2 linked regions of the Saccharomyces cerevisiae S288C genome follow. The gene in region 2 interacts genetically with the main gene of each other region. Each region holds a gene or a part of one and is shown on either strand. Other genes may lie near its edges.

What was found.
Region 1: mutations in STR2 (region 2) and STB3 together harm fitness more than expected from each alone (negative genetic interaction), as found in Saccharomyces cerevisiae (2 studies listed by BioGRID).

The regions. Positions count from the first base shown.
Region 1 is NC_001136.10:790,245-797,636, reverse strand, and holds STB3 (Stb3p), read left to right. Parts: upstream 1-3,747; coding exon 3,748-5,289; downstream 5,290-7,392. Other genes in the region: Arf family guanine nucleotide exchange factor SEC7, read left to right, coding at 1-1,444; YDR169C-A (uncharacterized protein), read left to right, coding at 2,914-3,063; Hsp90 co-chaperone CDC37, read right to left, coding at 5,789-7,309.
Region 2 is NC_001142.9:662,012-670,771, reverse strand, and holds STR2 (cystathionine gamma-synthase), read left to right. Parts: upstream 1-3,634; coding exon 3,635-5,554; downstream 5,555-8,760. Other genes in the region: NMD5 (Nmd5p), read right to left, coding at 1-1,250; MNS1 (mannosyl-oligosaccharide 1,2-alpha-mannosidase), read right to left, coding at 1,479-3,128; EFM3 (protein-lysine N-methyltransferase), read left to right, coding at 5,753-6,772; YJR128W (uncharacterized protein), read right to left, coding at 7,492-7,851; RSF2 (Rsf2p), read left to right, coding at 7,713-8,760. UniProt on the Saccharomyces cerevisiae protein: Catalyzes the formation of L-cystathionine from O-succinyl-L-homoserine (OSHS) and L-cysteine, via a gamma-replacement reaction. In the absence of thiol, catalyzes gamma-elimination to form 2-oxobutanoate, succinate and ammonia.

The DNA.
Region 1 (7,392 bases), on a different chromosome or scaffold from region 2:
CATATTCCAGGATGTGTGGTTCCCTATGTTATTCTGCTTCAATGATACGATCATGACAGCTGAAGACTTAGAAGTTAGATCACGTGCATTAAACTATATGTTCGATGCCCTAGTGGCATATGGTGGTAAATTCAATGATGATTTCTGGGAAAAGATTTGTAAGAAGTTACTATTTCCTATTTTCGGTGTATTATCCAAACATTGGGAAGTCAACCAATTCAATAGTCATGATGATTTAAGTGTTTGGCTTTCGACCACGTTAATTCAAGCCTTAAGGAACTTGATTGCCCTTTTTACGCATTACTTTGAATCGTTGAACAGAATGCTCGATGGATTTTTGGGTCTGCTGGTATCCTGTATTTGTCAAGAAAATGACACTATTGCTAGAATTGGGAGATCCTGCCTGCAACAATTGATATTGCAAAACGTATCTAAATTCAATGAGTACCATTGGAATCAAATAGGTGACGTATTCGATAAATTGTTTGATTTAACCACTGCTAATGAATTGTTCGATTATGATCCGTTACAGCAAGGAAGAAAATCATCTGTATCTCATCACCAAACAACTAATGATACCAGCCAACACTCAGATGATGATAGCAACGACAGAAGGGAGAACGATTCTAATATCAGTGAGACGGTCGAAAGAGCGCATCAAGAAGAATCCAGCGAAGACGTTGGTGGTGACATGGTTGAAACACTCAATGGGCAAACTAAGCTTAATAATGGCAATTCCGTTCCGACGGTAAAGGACGAATTGAATCCAAAGCCCGCTAGTCTAAGTATCCCCAAGAAAACTAAGCACATGAAACGAAACGAAAGTAACGAAGATATACGTAGGAGAATAAACATCAAGAATTCTATTGTTGTCAAATGTGTTTTACAGCTTTTGATGATAGAGCTGCTCAACGAATTATTCGAGAACGAAGATTTTGCCCACTGTATCCCTTACAAGGAAGCCATTAGAATTACAAGATTGTTGGAGAAATCGTACGAATTTTCTCGTGACTTTAATGAAGATTATGGGTTAAGAACAAGACTAGTAGAGGCTCGTGTAGTTGATAAAATACCAAACCTGTTGAAACAAGAAACGAGTGCTGCTGCAGTTCTCCTTGACATTATGTTTCAGTTGTATCTGAACGATGATGAGAAGAAGGCTGATTTAATAACTCGTCTGATCACCATTTGCATCCAGGTCGTAGAGGGTTATGTTTCTTTGGATGATAGAACCATGGAACGTAGTATCAATGCCTGGCGTTCAGTGATAGTTGAAATATTACAAGGTTACTACGAATTTGATGATGAAGACTTTAGACTATACTGTCCTGCTATGTATGCTCTGGTGATTCAAATATTAGATAAGAGCGTTCCAACGGAGTTGAGACATGCTATAAAACAATTTCTAAGCAGAGTTGGTGAATTATACCTTTCTACTGATTAAGGCTTTGTTGAATGGTCCAGCAGATTAAAATATGCTTAGTTGTAGAACACAGAAAAAATGAGAAGGTTGATATACTTTTACTCATATTAATCCTGATTTAGTGGCGGTGATCCTTTTTAGATTCGTTTAATTCATAAACAAGGTACATCATATAGCAATAACAAATATGTAAACTATGTAGAAAGACTTATCAAGTTTAGCCATTTTGGTCCTCATTCATGGGCATTTTATACTAACTTCATTTTTGCCGAAATAAGAAAGGATGTAATCTTAACCTAAAATATGTAAGCAATTAAGGGCGCACGTAGTCACTTGCGAACAAATAGGAAAAGAAAGAAACAAGCACGGATACTGAATGACTGAGTGTATTACTACACGATTTATCTCAACGAATTTAAGTGTGGAGGACGATCGGCTGCACGTAGGAGTCAACGTTTTTTTACTGTGTTCATCACAAAACCATTAAGCTGAGTCATCCATATTGCAAACAATAAGGTAGCACCGCTTCCATCAAAACACTAGAACATACCGATGTTTTCACGGATTTATTGGAAACAAATAGCAGATGAGGGCGTTTTTACTTGTAATGAAGGCGAATGAGAAGGCAAGGCTTACAGGCTTGTTGTTTATGCCAAGCATCAATACTCGCTATGGAGGAGCGCCATCAGCGATAACAACAAAGTTTGCAAGTGCTTGCTTGGATATAAAAGGCTTGACGCTTAAGATAAATAGGGCCATACTTGCTTGCTTTTACTATTTTTGTTCCTCATAAGCCTGATTGACTACGCTATTATAAACCCCTACATTATCCTATAATCAACTTCACTTGTGTAACGTTGAATGAGTTCAACTGAGTAATACTCGGTCGGAAATATACGCTCCATCTGGCAGGAAACATAGGCTGCATTTATATCTTGCACAATTATGCCCTTCGTAGGTGTATGTTTTCATGTTTTCCATTATGTCAATGTAGATGTATCTTTGGACAGGCAACTTTTGGATCAATAAAGCACAATTTTTGAGCAATTTGAGATATCCAGTATTTGTACGGGAGTCCCAAGATTGTTTAGCCTAAAAGGTTGAGGACTTGGATTATTCTTCCATCAAGCGCCTCCACCCCTCGCATCCTATTTCTTTTGAAGCATAGGGGACGAGACTGTCTGTAATTTATGGCGAAGTATGACAAGAAAGATTCAAACTTTGTTTTACGTATGCCCCAATAAATTCTATGGTAGCACTACTAGAGACGTATTTTGGTTTTGTAATAATTTTCAAACTGCTCGCTATGATTTGTTACAAGAAACAAACAAAAGACACGACCATAGGGTTCATGTTGGTGGTTGCGAAGCCACATCTTTAAAACATTACTGCAAATTCAGCAGGAGTGAGTAGCAAAATCGACAAAAACTAGAGTACGCAACATTCCCGGTCGTAAATTTCTTATCGTGGCGCCAGAACATTCCCGTCCAATGATGAGAATGTCTCTAAAACAAATGCAGTCACAGAGATTTTCTGCGACTTCTCGAGTGAGAATGTTGCTTATTGGTGCTAGTGGCTTGAGATCTTCGTCAAGCAAATTGGAATGCCCCAGATTCTCAAACAAGCACGGCAGAAACTGAAATACGGCCAAAATTATGAACCCTTTTGTGGGATCTTTGTAGAAATAGGACCTCAGGATAGTATGATGAAGAATGTTGGCATGCTATACAATACTACAGTCATTTGCATGAATTGGCTGCTTGTATAGGAATCAGGTTGCGTTGGCAATGATATTCCCATAATAACGTGCAAAAGTCCCTACGGTAGTAGGCTGATCACTCCGCACGTGCGCGCTGAGAGGGTAGAGGCGCCTTCCTTACCTTAGTAACCGAAGAGTGAACTATTTCAGATAGTCTTTATCCTTCTCATGTTCATCTCCACACAATCTCACGCAATCCACGCTATAATATAAAGATACAGGTACGGTAATACCATCCATATCCAAGACAAATCGATTATAAAAGACACTGATTGCAAACGGTGCCTGGCAATCCTGATCAGAAGCACGTTAAATTTATCGCAAAAAAGGGCGAACTGAGATTTTCAAGAGTCGTGTCAATAACCAGTTTCCAATCGGAGCACGTGAATTTGTAACCACTTGTAAACACGATTAAAGACCGTTACTAAATTTCCGCTGAAAAGAAGGAAAAAGAGTATAGTATCATCTGAATCATTCGGTGTACAAACGCCAAGCTCCTGCTTTGTGCTTTTCTAATAAATTGAAATTTTGAATAAAAAGACATTATTTCAGACTACCACTAATAATGTCAGAAAACCAAAAGGAGGTATCGCCTCCTCAAGCCATATCGGTCAAATCCGAGGCAAGCTCTAGTATATTTTCCAAACCTATCTCCACATCATCACCCGCTGGGTTAGCAGCCGCTCAAAGAGTTACGCCCGGGAAACTGTCCACTTTATTACTAGAAATGGGACCATTGGCCATTAGACACATTACACAGACCTTATGCCTAGATATTCCCTGTTTTAAAGATTTATCATCTTCCAAGCAAAGACGACTTATAATGAGTGCTATGGAAAGTGGTGATAAAGAAAAATCAGTGGTATTTGAAAAAATTGGATGGGGTCAATGGTCCGCGAAAAGAGTAGACCCTGCCAACTTTGATAAGGAGCTGGAAGCGACCAATTTTGCAAATGCAAAGGTGAAAGACTTGATTTCTCAAGAGAGTCAAAGAAGGAAAAGCAACAATTCAAATTCTAATTCAGGCGGCAAAGTTGAAATGCCTATGAAAGTTGAGCATAATATCACGAATATCGATGGAGCCACCACCCCGCCTACCGCTGTTGCTTCCACCACCATTCCTGTTAATATCAAACGCAGCAAATCTCCACTTGCAGCAGCAAACGTAGTATATATAGATGAAAATGCGCTAGCATCGGAAGATGAGGATGAGGAGTTTGATGAAGATGACCATCATTTACATTACCAAAACAAATCGAGGAACAGCAGTAATAATTTTGGAAAATCTTCAAATGGTGATCCCTATAGTTTCGGCAGGAGAAGGTCTCAAGTTGTGTTCGCCGATTCAACTCCCGAGAATATTGAGCATGAAATAATAGCACAAAAGATTAGACCGCTATTAAGAAATAGACGCCGTTCGAGCATAAAACCACATACACCTTTCATTTCCAAACTAAACACACACCAAGATTCATCCTACCTTTCCCCCAATACAACCTCAACGACAACCCCATCAAATAACAACAGTAACTCAAACCAGGCGAAGATAGATTTAGAGAAACTTACTGCGACAAGTGAGCCAACTTCAAGAAGAGCTTCTCGTCTGTCTGTATCGAAAGAATCAAGTATTAGATCGACACTTTTCCCAAACAAAAACTATTTGATCGTCACTACAAACCCTAACTCTAAAGCTACGTCGGTTTCCACCTCCCCTAAGCTAGAAGAACAGATGAATGTAAGTTCAAATCCGATAGTATTATCGGACAAGGAGAAACATAGAGTAGCTTCACAACACCTGAATGGGGAATCGTCGCCACAACTTGTTCCCCATTCTCATCATCAACCTCACTCAGATACAGACGAAGAAGACTGGGAATCAATTGGTGCAGCTTCTCTGAGAAATAACAGTTTAGCACCTAACATAGACAGCGTAGCAAGTTCTACTAATGGCGTAGTTAGCCCTAAACCTACAAATCCAAGTTTTACTAACTCTCAGAATGGAGATATTGAGCCTCCCCTACAACACGACCAACAGAAACATGAACAGCAGCCAAGAAATGGGGAAGACAATAGTGCTGCGTTTTTATTAATGAGCTTAAAATCTTAAGAATTCTTTACCAGTTCCATGAAATAACAAAAAAACAGTAAAAAAAAAATGAAAATGAAAAAAGAATACATATTTTGTTTTAATGAAAGTTTGTTACCAAGTTTTGCTTTAAGTTTATCATCTCTGAATAATTATTTTGTCTTTTTTGTCACCACTTTTTTCTTGTCACATTTTTTTCTTCTTTTCATATTCATTTCATATATTAGCCCGTTCAATATATTTCAAAAGACCCAGTATTTTTCACATTTTACCCTTCCGATTCTTTGTGTAGTATATACAAATTACAAAAACACACACTGAGAAAAACATGCACTAATAAAAAATAAGATATTATGTACTAACGTAGGAAAGCAGGTACAAAACCTCTGCTGTAATTTCACGATTTTCTTTATTGATCATTAATTTTCTTCTTTTTTTTTTTTGTATTATGTATAAATGAAAATAACAATAAAAAAGGAAGTAGATGCACGCTGCACCAGTAAAATAGCTACATAAATTTCTAGTCAACAGTGTCGGCAGTATGTTTGACCTCTTCATGGTTATCTCCGCCACCATCACGGTCGTTTAAGGACAGATTCTCCATAGTGGCGTCTTCATGGTCCTGTTCGTATTGATCTTTCAAACTTTGAAAGTCTTTCTCGTTTTCTAAGATCGCTTTTATTCCAATAATGTCAATGTCATTAAACACTTCCAAAAGTTTCTCAGCCTCTTCAATTGGTATATCTTCAAAGACTTTATTAATATTATCCAAATTTTTGGTCATTATGGCTTCTTGCATTTTTTCCGGTATTAAAGTTTTGAAAACTTTAACCTTTTTCATCTCTTCTGGATCTTTAGAATTGAAGTCTGGCAAGTTTACTTCTAATTCTGTAGAATCATCTAGAGATTTCAATTGAATCGTCTCTACTCCTTCAGCATTCGATTCATCCATTTCCTCTTGTTGTAAAATTTTGGAACGTTTTTGAATGTGCAAAAATTTTTCTTGAACTGATCTCAAAAAAGACTCTTTACCCATTGGCTTGTCCTTGTTGAAGATAACCTTCTCGAAAAACATATTAATGACATTTGATAGTTCCATTGGATTTAAATATGGAATTTTCTTCATGTCGTAGATTTCCTTAATGTAGGCCATCAATTCGGATTGATGAATGACTTGCAAAGTCATCTTATCGTCACCATGTAACTGATACTCAAAGGCCTTCATCATTAAGGCGTCCTTTTGTTGTTCTGAAATAATAGGTAAGTGCTCCAGTAAGAATTTCTGAGATTTTGAGTACTCATTAATGGATATTTTACCGAATTCTTCAGTTTCCTTGGCCAGTTTCATAGGATCATCTTTAAAATCGATGAAAGTTTGCGGAACTGATGATTTTGCTAGTTTATTAAGAATATTAGACTCTGCAGCGCTCGAAAGAGCTTCTGAAGGAGTTGCTTCCAGTGGCTTAGCCCCCCCCTTTTGCTTGTTCATAAAGCTACTATCAAAGCCTGTATGAATGTCTTCAGATGAAATGTGTGCATTTTTCTCCTTGTATAATTCATCTAATTTCTTCTTAGCCTCTACAGTTACTGAATCGATCTTAGCCCTATGTTTCAAAATAGCATCCCTTATGAGAGATGGGCTCTTCGAGTCTTTGCCCTCTTTGTCTAAATCTTTTGCTAATTGTTCAAAAAGATCTTCAACCATTTCATTGTATGTTGCAATCTCAGGATCAACATTTTCCCCTTTACTTTTCTCCATCTTATCAAAATTTGCATTCAAGAATTTGGTAACGGCTGGCAAATCAGTAAGAGAACTTTCAGGTAAATTACTCAAAATTCTGTCCACTCGTTTGTTCAAATGAGAATACATATCCACTTGTGTCTCCAAATTTTTGATATCTTGGTTCCTTTTGAATCGCTGTTCATGGATACTCTGTTGTTTCCATTTAATGAACGATTTCTTGTCCACATTAGGATGCACCTCGACATCAGAATCATCTGATAGTTCAATTTTATCCCACTTAGAGTAATCAATGGCCATTTTTGACTTATGTAGTTGTTCCGTAGTACGATAGCTCGATAGTTTTTTTATCGTGATGAAGTGTTGGTGCAACGGAGGTGTTC
Region 2 (8,760 bases):
GTCACGCATGTCGTTAGCAAAGCCAGTGCGGCAAGATCTGGGGAATAGCCGACATCCCAAAAGTCCATATTCCGGTTGATATATTCTTGAGGGTCATTGTCAAAGGCCTCCAAAGTCTCTGCAGTGGGCTTTAGTAGTGGGAAAATGACATGTTGAAGTATTACATTGTAGTGGGGCCCAACAAGTTTCCAAGTTGTTTTCTGCACAACACACTGCTCAACAAAGTTCAATATGTAGTATAAGCATTCGTCACTTAACCACAACTGTCCAGTTCCCCATTTCTCGATTTGATCGAAGACGACTTGCAAAAACTGAGTCAAAAACTCTTCACAGTACATCTGTTTAAACTCATCGTACTGAAACTTCCTTGTTAATGACGTTGATGCGTATCTCTGGAAAAGTCTATAAAGGTTTGCAAGAGCCCATTTCTTACATTTGACCCATGGATTTTTACTTCTGACCTCAATATCTGATATAGCCAAAACTTCCTGAGGCAATGGCTGCTGAATGATGCTGACAAAAAAACATGCCCATGGGGTAAACGATTCTGAGCGTTGTAATGTAAATGGTAGGTCATGGTATGAAACGAACTTATAAATTTTAATGATTAATTTTACCAATTCGCCAATTTGCTCGTTATTCATATATTTACCATCTTGGAAAAGGACATTTGCGCCATAGTTTAATAAAGCAGGGAAATAATTTAAAATCAACTCTTCTAAGTCCTGTCTTTCATCATTATTCTTCCACCTATAGGTCCTAAAAATCTCAGCAAGACACAGAAGTCCGACATATGTTACTGTGATGTCTTCATTTGCGAGTAATTCTAAGGAATTTGGTAACAAATTGCCCCATTTTTTGCTAGGGTAATCTTCTGAAATAATTACAGTAAGGGCAGATTTTAGCACTCTGATACAACGCGGGGAGGTCTTGGACACACTGACCATTGTTTTAATTAACATATCTTTTACTACTGGTTTTTCATCCGGATCAACATGTGAATCTAATAATTCATTTGAACCCTGTCTTGCACCAGCAGACCATCCGTATGTAATCTTATTCTTGAAATATAAGGAAGCTGATAATTTGATGTTTTCTGGTACTTCATCAGCAGCAATGATATCCAGGCATGCGCCTAAGAATCCCGGTACTTTACTTGCATTTTTAAGATGTGTTTCTGCATTAGTTCTTACGGCAGCGTTATGGTCCAAAGTACAGGCAAAGCACTGTAACAATTCTGTAATATCCATCGAGAATAAAATGTCTTCGTCAAAATCAAAATTGTGTCAAATATCCAGACGAAAAATGATTGATTATGCTGAAATATATAAATGAATATTGATTCAAATATACTTTTTTGCTGAAGTAAGCATTGCAAATTTTTCATTTTCCTAAACATGGAAAAAATGGTATAGCACATCATCACACCGCATAGTGAATTTTAAAAGGCGAATCTGGCCACTATATAGCACACTAACCTACAACGACCAACCTGTGGTCAGAGACTGCGATTTTAATATTTCTTCGTCTAATACTGGAAAAGGATGAGCTTCTGTGTTGAAAACAACTTTGGTCAAATCAAACTCGTCTAAAAACAATATATATAAATACTTTAAAGTCTCTGCCAACCAGAAACTTTCCATATTGTTAGATTTCTTTGTAGGTAACGTGATACAATCACTTAAACTGGTGAACCGCCTTAATTTTGGGTCATTACAATCAACACAGGTATTTTCAAAGAAGCTAGTTGCGATTTCCGCCCCCCATTCACGATATTTGTGATCATGAGATAAATGATACATGAACATAATCGATTCCACCGTTTCTGGTCTTTGTAGGTTGTGCCTATCGAGTGGTTTAACAAAAAAATCACCCACAGACGACCGCCACCAACCATCCTGTTTTATGTTTCCATCATTGAAGACAACGATTTCAGGCGCAAGCCCCGAGGAAGACTGCTTGTACATTTGATAACATGTGTCAGTTATCCCTTTAGCCAAATCCCAGTCACTTTTTCTTTCAAGGGAAAGAGAGAAAAACGGACGTCTTCGGGCTTCATGAATAGAAAGGCCCTCAGTAGAGCCTGATGCTAACAATCCCCCCATAAAGCACACGAGGTGGTCCATCTTAGGAGAAAGTTGTCCATGTAGACCTTGTTCTCTTTCCCCAATGTACCACAGAGAAGAGGGTTTGGATTGTGCTAATAAATGCTTTTTCATACCTTCCATGGATTTTCTGTACAGATCATAATAAAGTGTTTCGTGCGTCAATAAATATTGTTTTAGTAAATACTCATAAAAAGAATCACCTCTTGATCCGAACCGGATAGTCGAAGCACCAAACTTCCCAGTATCTGGAAATGTATAAATTGGAACCAATCCATCGTAGGTATTTAGAAGATCGTTATTTTTGTATAATGGCTCGTAAACACGCTCCACCAGCTCCCAATAAGTACGATTTCCTGTCAAATACGCCAGATATTTGAATTCCATTTGTAGCGTAGTGAATTCTGCGGTAGAAGATGCCCCCCCATCTGCATGGTTCTTAACCGCTTGGCCACTATGAAGGTTTATACTTGAGTATGGAATTCCGGTCTGAGTGGATAAGAACGCCAAAGCAAGCCTATCCCCCAAATCTATTGCTTTGTTCAAGTAGACAGTCTTATTACCTACTTCTAAAACATCAGATAGATGATATGCGGATAATAAACCACCTAGCATTCTAATAGTAGTTTCAAAAACATTCACTTCGGCATCAATATCAAAATCCAAAACATCGTTTATCCAATGCTCCGATCTCTGAATTTCTGCCTCGAACTCACTTTTGTATAGTGTGGAGGAGTTATACATTAACATCAAGGTATCCACTGAATCTACGATAATCCAGCCTAACGGCTGGTTGCCACGAGGCATATTATGGGAAGTGTGCTCAATAGGTCCATACACATCGTATCCCCAGCCATGCTTGGAATAGTCTCTCCACGATTCCAAGAACATGCTTTCAATCCGATCTCTCATTTCTCCGGCCCCCGGTGACTTTCTCTCAAAGTGTTCGTACCATGGCACATAGTATATAGCTGCTATGATAGCAACAATGGTTGCAATTGAAATACCGACAGAGTTCTTCATAGAATCCTTTTTCAATGTTTAACCTTTTCCTCTTTTACTACCTTTTTCTGTCGTCTTTCGTTTCTTGGCAAAGCACATTTCTTTCATTCTTTCGTTTGGCGAAACTGAAAATTCCAAATAATTGCTCTTCCACAGAAAATGCGTTACAACCAAAGTGAATTTGTAAAAGTTTAACCCCACATTTTGCTACAGTCTTATTTAAAAATAGCAGTATTCATATTAAAATATCTTGCGGTTTAAGAACTCAATTAACTTCAATGATTGCCAGTGTTGTTCAGGTAAAACCCTTCAAACCTAGTAAATATGACTTATCTTCATGCGTGGATGTAAAAAACAAAAATCATGATAGCGCCTCTGCACTTCACAATATCTCGGTCTAAAAATTAGTCATATATTTTGGATATATATATATATATATACCCATATATATAACGATAGTAGAATGACGCTCATGTGCCGATTCGGGACCTACATAAACAAGAGAGAGAAGAGGAACAGAAGAAAAAATGATATCTAGAACCATTGGTGAATCTATTCCGCCCAACACAAAACATGCTGTTTCCGTGTGTTTGCCCACATGGGAAGCTACAGTAGGCTATGAAGAGGGTGAAAGCAGTATAATTAACTCGCTTACTACCGGATATCCAAGATTTTTCATACACAAGTCAATAAAGAAATTATGTGAAATTTTATCCGCTAAGTACTCCATGGAAGATGAAGCTTGTCTTTGCTTCCCCTCTTACAAGGTTGCCAATAGGTGCAGAGAGTTTATCAAAGTGAAAACGGGTCTTTCTACCAAAGTACGCATCTTACAACTATGTACACCTAAACCTATGAACCAAGAGGAAAAGCTCTGGAGAAGGGAATGTAAAATCACGGTGGTGTTTGTAGACCAGGAAATATTCCCCGTGATGAAGCAGTATTGGCAACATTCTGGTGAGATTGTATCTAGCAGAATGGCGGAGTATATTTTACATGAATTACAAGTCAAGGATAATCTTAAGAAGATGGAAACAGTGGATAACGGTAAAAAATTTATGACCGAAGATGAAAACAGAGTGAACGAAGAATATATAGAAACGAGATTTGGGAGAAATTTAAATTTTCTTGCTGCTGATAAAGCCAAATATCTAATACGAAAGAGGATTGCCACAAAAGTTGTTGAAAAAATTGACTCTGAAGGTCTATCGGACCTATTCTCTTTTGAACACTATAACGAGAGCAACGGTCCATTCAATGTTGGCAGTGGAGAGGCTCTGGATGATGATCAGTTGAATTCGGACATACCTGCCGAAACAATTACTTCTATGGGAGAAAGTGGCTCAAACAGTACTTTTGAAAACACAGCTACCGATGACTTGAAGTTTCATGTCAACCCTAATACGGATGTTTACTTATTTCCAAGTGGAATGGCGTCCATTTTCACTGCCCACAGGCTGCTTTTAAACTTCGATGCCAAGCGCTTATCAAGGTCTTCTAGTAGACAAGATAAGTTGATTGGATATGGACCTCCGTTCAAGAAGACCGTCATGTTTGGATTCCCATATACAGATACTCTGAGCATTCTTCGGAAGTTCAATCACACACATTTCTTGGGACAGGGAGATTCAACGTCAATGAACGCTCTGAAAAATATTTTACATTCTGGTGAGCAAATACTGGCGGTATTTATAGAAGCTCCATCGAACCCACTGTTGAAAATGGGAGATTTACAAGAACTGAAAAGGCTATCAGACTTGTATTCATTTTACATAGTGGTCGATGAAACTGTGGGTGGCTTTGTCAATATAGATGTATTACCGTATGCCGATATTGTTTGTAGTTCGCTAACGAAAATCTTCAGCGGCGACTCGAACGTTATTGCAGGATCCTTAGTACTAAATCCTAGAGGAAAGATTTATGAGTTTGCTAGAAAATTTATGAAGACTGAAGACGGATATGAAGATTGCCTATGGTGCGAAGATGCGTTATGCCTGGAAAGAAATTCGAGAGACTTCGTGGAACGTACAATCAAGGTGAATACAAACACTGATATATTGTTAAAAAGGGTGTTATTGCCTCAGGTGGGAAAATTGTTCAAGAAAATATATTACCCCAGTTTAACATCAGAGGATACCAAGCGGAATTATGACAGCGTTATGTCTACAAAAGATGGTGGGTATGGAGGTTTATTTTCACTAACTTTTTTCAATATTGAAGAGGCAAAGAAGTTTTTCAATAATCTGGAATTGTGCAAAGGACCTTCTCTCGGTACGAATTTCACTTTGGCGTGTCCATATGCTATTATTGCCCACTACCAGGAATTAGACGAGGTAGCTCAATATGGTGTCGAAACAAATCTTGTAAGAGTGAGCGTCGGTTTGGAAAATAGCGACGTTTTATGCAATGTTTTTCAGCGTGCCATTGAGAAAGCTTTAGGGGAATAAAGCCAAAATGTTTATATGTATTAGAAAACTCTGTAGAAAATTTTAATGCTGATTGTCCGGACACGACAAACAGCGAAATAAATACTAGCAGTTAGTACATCATCGCAAAAATGATGAAGAATGTATAAGTAAATGAAAAAGGAAAAGAAAGCAGAAAAATCGAGCTAGTAAAACTTGACCCTCCTCGTCAAAGATAACATGAATGAAGATCTATTCTACGATAGATTACATCAGCGGTGCCCTGGAAAATACTTGCTAGAAGAGTTGGAAACAAGCAAATCTAACGATGTCCTGCATGCATCGAGATTTGTTTGTGAGATGGAACTTGTGCAAAAGACGAATGCATATTATTGCAAAACCATAGTCAAGATGCTCTTAGACCACGAATGGATTTTCGCGAAGGCATTCACAATTGTCAACGATGGCGAAGACGAGATAGAGATATATGATTATCTCTATGAGAAGTACATAAAACTATTAAGCACAGGCAAGCCAGACCCGATGATGAAAGACGTCGTGAGGTACAGGTTTGACGAGGACGTAAAGATCAAAATTGAGGAAACACCGAATTTGATCAGTGCGGCCAGTACTACAGGTTTCAGGACATGGGAAGCTGCCTTATACATGGGTGATTTCCTTATTCATAAGCCCTTACAAGAGTTGGCACCGGTACAAGGACAAGACGATGGCAAGAAAAAATTAAATGTTCTTGAGGTCGGCGCTGGCACAGGCATAGTGAGTCTCGTCATTTTACAAAAGTATCACGAGTTCGTAAATAAGATGTACGTCACGGATGGTGATTCGAATCTCGTTGAGACGCAGCTGAAAAGAAATTTTGAATTGAACAATGAAGTGCGTGAGAACGAACCAGACATCAAGTTGCAAAGATTATGGTGGGGCAGCGATAGAGTTCCTGAGGATATAGATTTAGTAGTGGGGGCAGATGTTACGTATGACCCAACTATCCTTCCTGATCTATGCGAGTGTCTGGCCGAATGTCTTGCTTTAGACCGATGCAAACTGTGTCTCCTATCCGCGACAATTAGAAGCGAATCCACTGTCCAACTGTTTTCTCAAGAGTGCAATAAACTCGGGCTAAAATGTACCATAGTCACCAGCACAGAGTACGACGCAAACAACGAGATCCGCGCGATGAAAGCCCTGCAATTCAAACCTTTGATTGCACCCATACGGATCTACAAGATCACGAAACAATAAGATACATGTGCAAGTACAAGTTCAAAAATAAAACATAACTAAAAAAAAAAAGAAAAAAAATATAGTCATCTTCTGACACTCGAGTCTCATTCAGCTAATCAAAACAACTAGCAATCCACTCGAGTTCTTATAAATGACCCGGAAATTGATCTCTCCACATTACGCTTATCACGAATAAGACCGAGTGTTCAAATAAATAGCTCGATCTTCGTACTGTCTAATGCGGTGGATTAGTACTTTAGGACAAAGTTACTTTTTTTCGGAAGGAAACTTCAAAAATAGAATTAACAAATAAGAAGGAAAAGCGAAAAACAAATCTCATTGCCTGTGCTTTCTTTTATACTTTTTTTTTTCGCTCGGAACCTCTTGCTTATACACGGTTTTTTTCCACGGAAACCTCGGTTACCCTTCAATTACTGGAACGTTAGGGCACAATCTAACAAATATATATACTGGCTTACAAGATGTAACAAACTACGAATAGTGGTACGAAGCTTATCACATGCACCATTATCTGTAACTGGGTTGCCGCCAACAGCAGACTCATGGGCTGGTTGAAAAAATCTTGGAAAACAGAGATAAACAGCTCGGCAGATAACATTTCCTGCGACCTTAATGCTGCGTTAGGTGTAATTGTCGCAATTTGCGGCCGGCCATAGTTGTTCGTGCTACAATATATGGAAGAAGCAACTGTTTTTGAATCAACGGTAGTAACGACCTTATATCATCATACACGAAAATACGCACAGACGGGGGTGAACCACTCCAGGGGCAGAGTAGAGTGTACAAGGAAAATTGTGATCTCGCCGCACGGTGCTGCATCGCGGAAATTCTCCGTAGGGCAACGGATAAGGTAACTGCGTATGCGGCATCGACAATAGGTAACTACGCGAGCAACTTCTATTAAGAGAAATAATTTTTGGGAAATGGCCTGTTTCGGATGGAACCGTTCGCATTTGGACGAGGGGCGCCTGCATTATGCATACTAACCGCGGCCGCTCGAATAAATCTGGACAATTTTGTTCCGTGTTGCTGGGCACTTTTCCGTCTGTCTTTCTTTTTCCCGCTTGACCCTGCATATATTAGAAACGAAAACAAAGAAACAAGGACTTCTTGGATTTCCATAGAGTTTTTTTTCTTCGTTAAACATTGCCTCTCTCAACACACGTTTTTCTCGAAGACTCTTGCACCAAAAAGAAACTTTAGGGCGAAGAAGCTAAAAGACATTGGCGATACTAGAATAGATAGGGCAGATAAAGATTTTTTATTAGTGCCGGAGCCAAGTATGTTTGTGAACGGTAATCAATCTAATTTCGCTAAGCCCGCTGGTCAAGGTATTCTGCCCATTCCTAAAAAATCTCGAATTATTAAGACTGATAAGCCAAGACCGTTCTTGTGTCCCACATGCACTAGGGGTTTTGTCAGGCAGGAGCATTTGAAGAGACATCAGCATTCGCATACCCGTGAGAAACCGTATCTTTGTATCTTTTGCGGTAGGTGTTTTGCTCGTAGAGATTTAGTGCTCAGGCATCAGCAAAAACTTCATGCTGCTCTTGTAGGTACGGGGGATCCACGGCGAATGACGCCAGCACCAAATTCGACTTCTTCTTTTGCCTCCAAGCGGCGCCATTCCGTGGCGGCGGATGATCCAACCGACCTTCATATCATTAAAATAGCCGGAAATAAAGAGACTATTCTACCCACCCCGAAGAACCTTGCTGGTAAGACATCTGAAGAATTGAAAGAGGCCGTGGTTGCCTTGGCCAAATCAAATAATGTAGAACTTCCCGTCTCGGCCCCAGTAATGAACGATAAGCGAGAGAAAACTCCTCCTAGTAAGGCAGGCTCCCTAGGATTTCGAGAGTTCAAGTTCAGCACGAAAGGCGTGCCAGTTCACTCTGCATCAAGCGATGCTGTTATCGACAGGGCGAACACTCCCTCTTCCATGCATAAGACGAAAAGACATGCGTCTTTCTCTGCATCCAGTG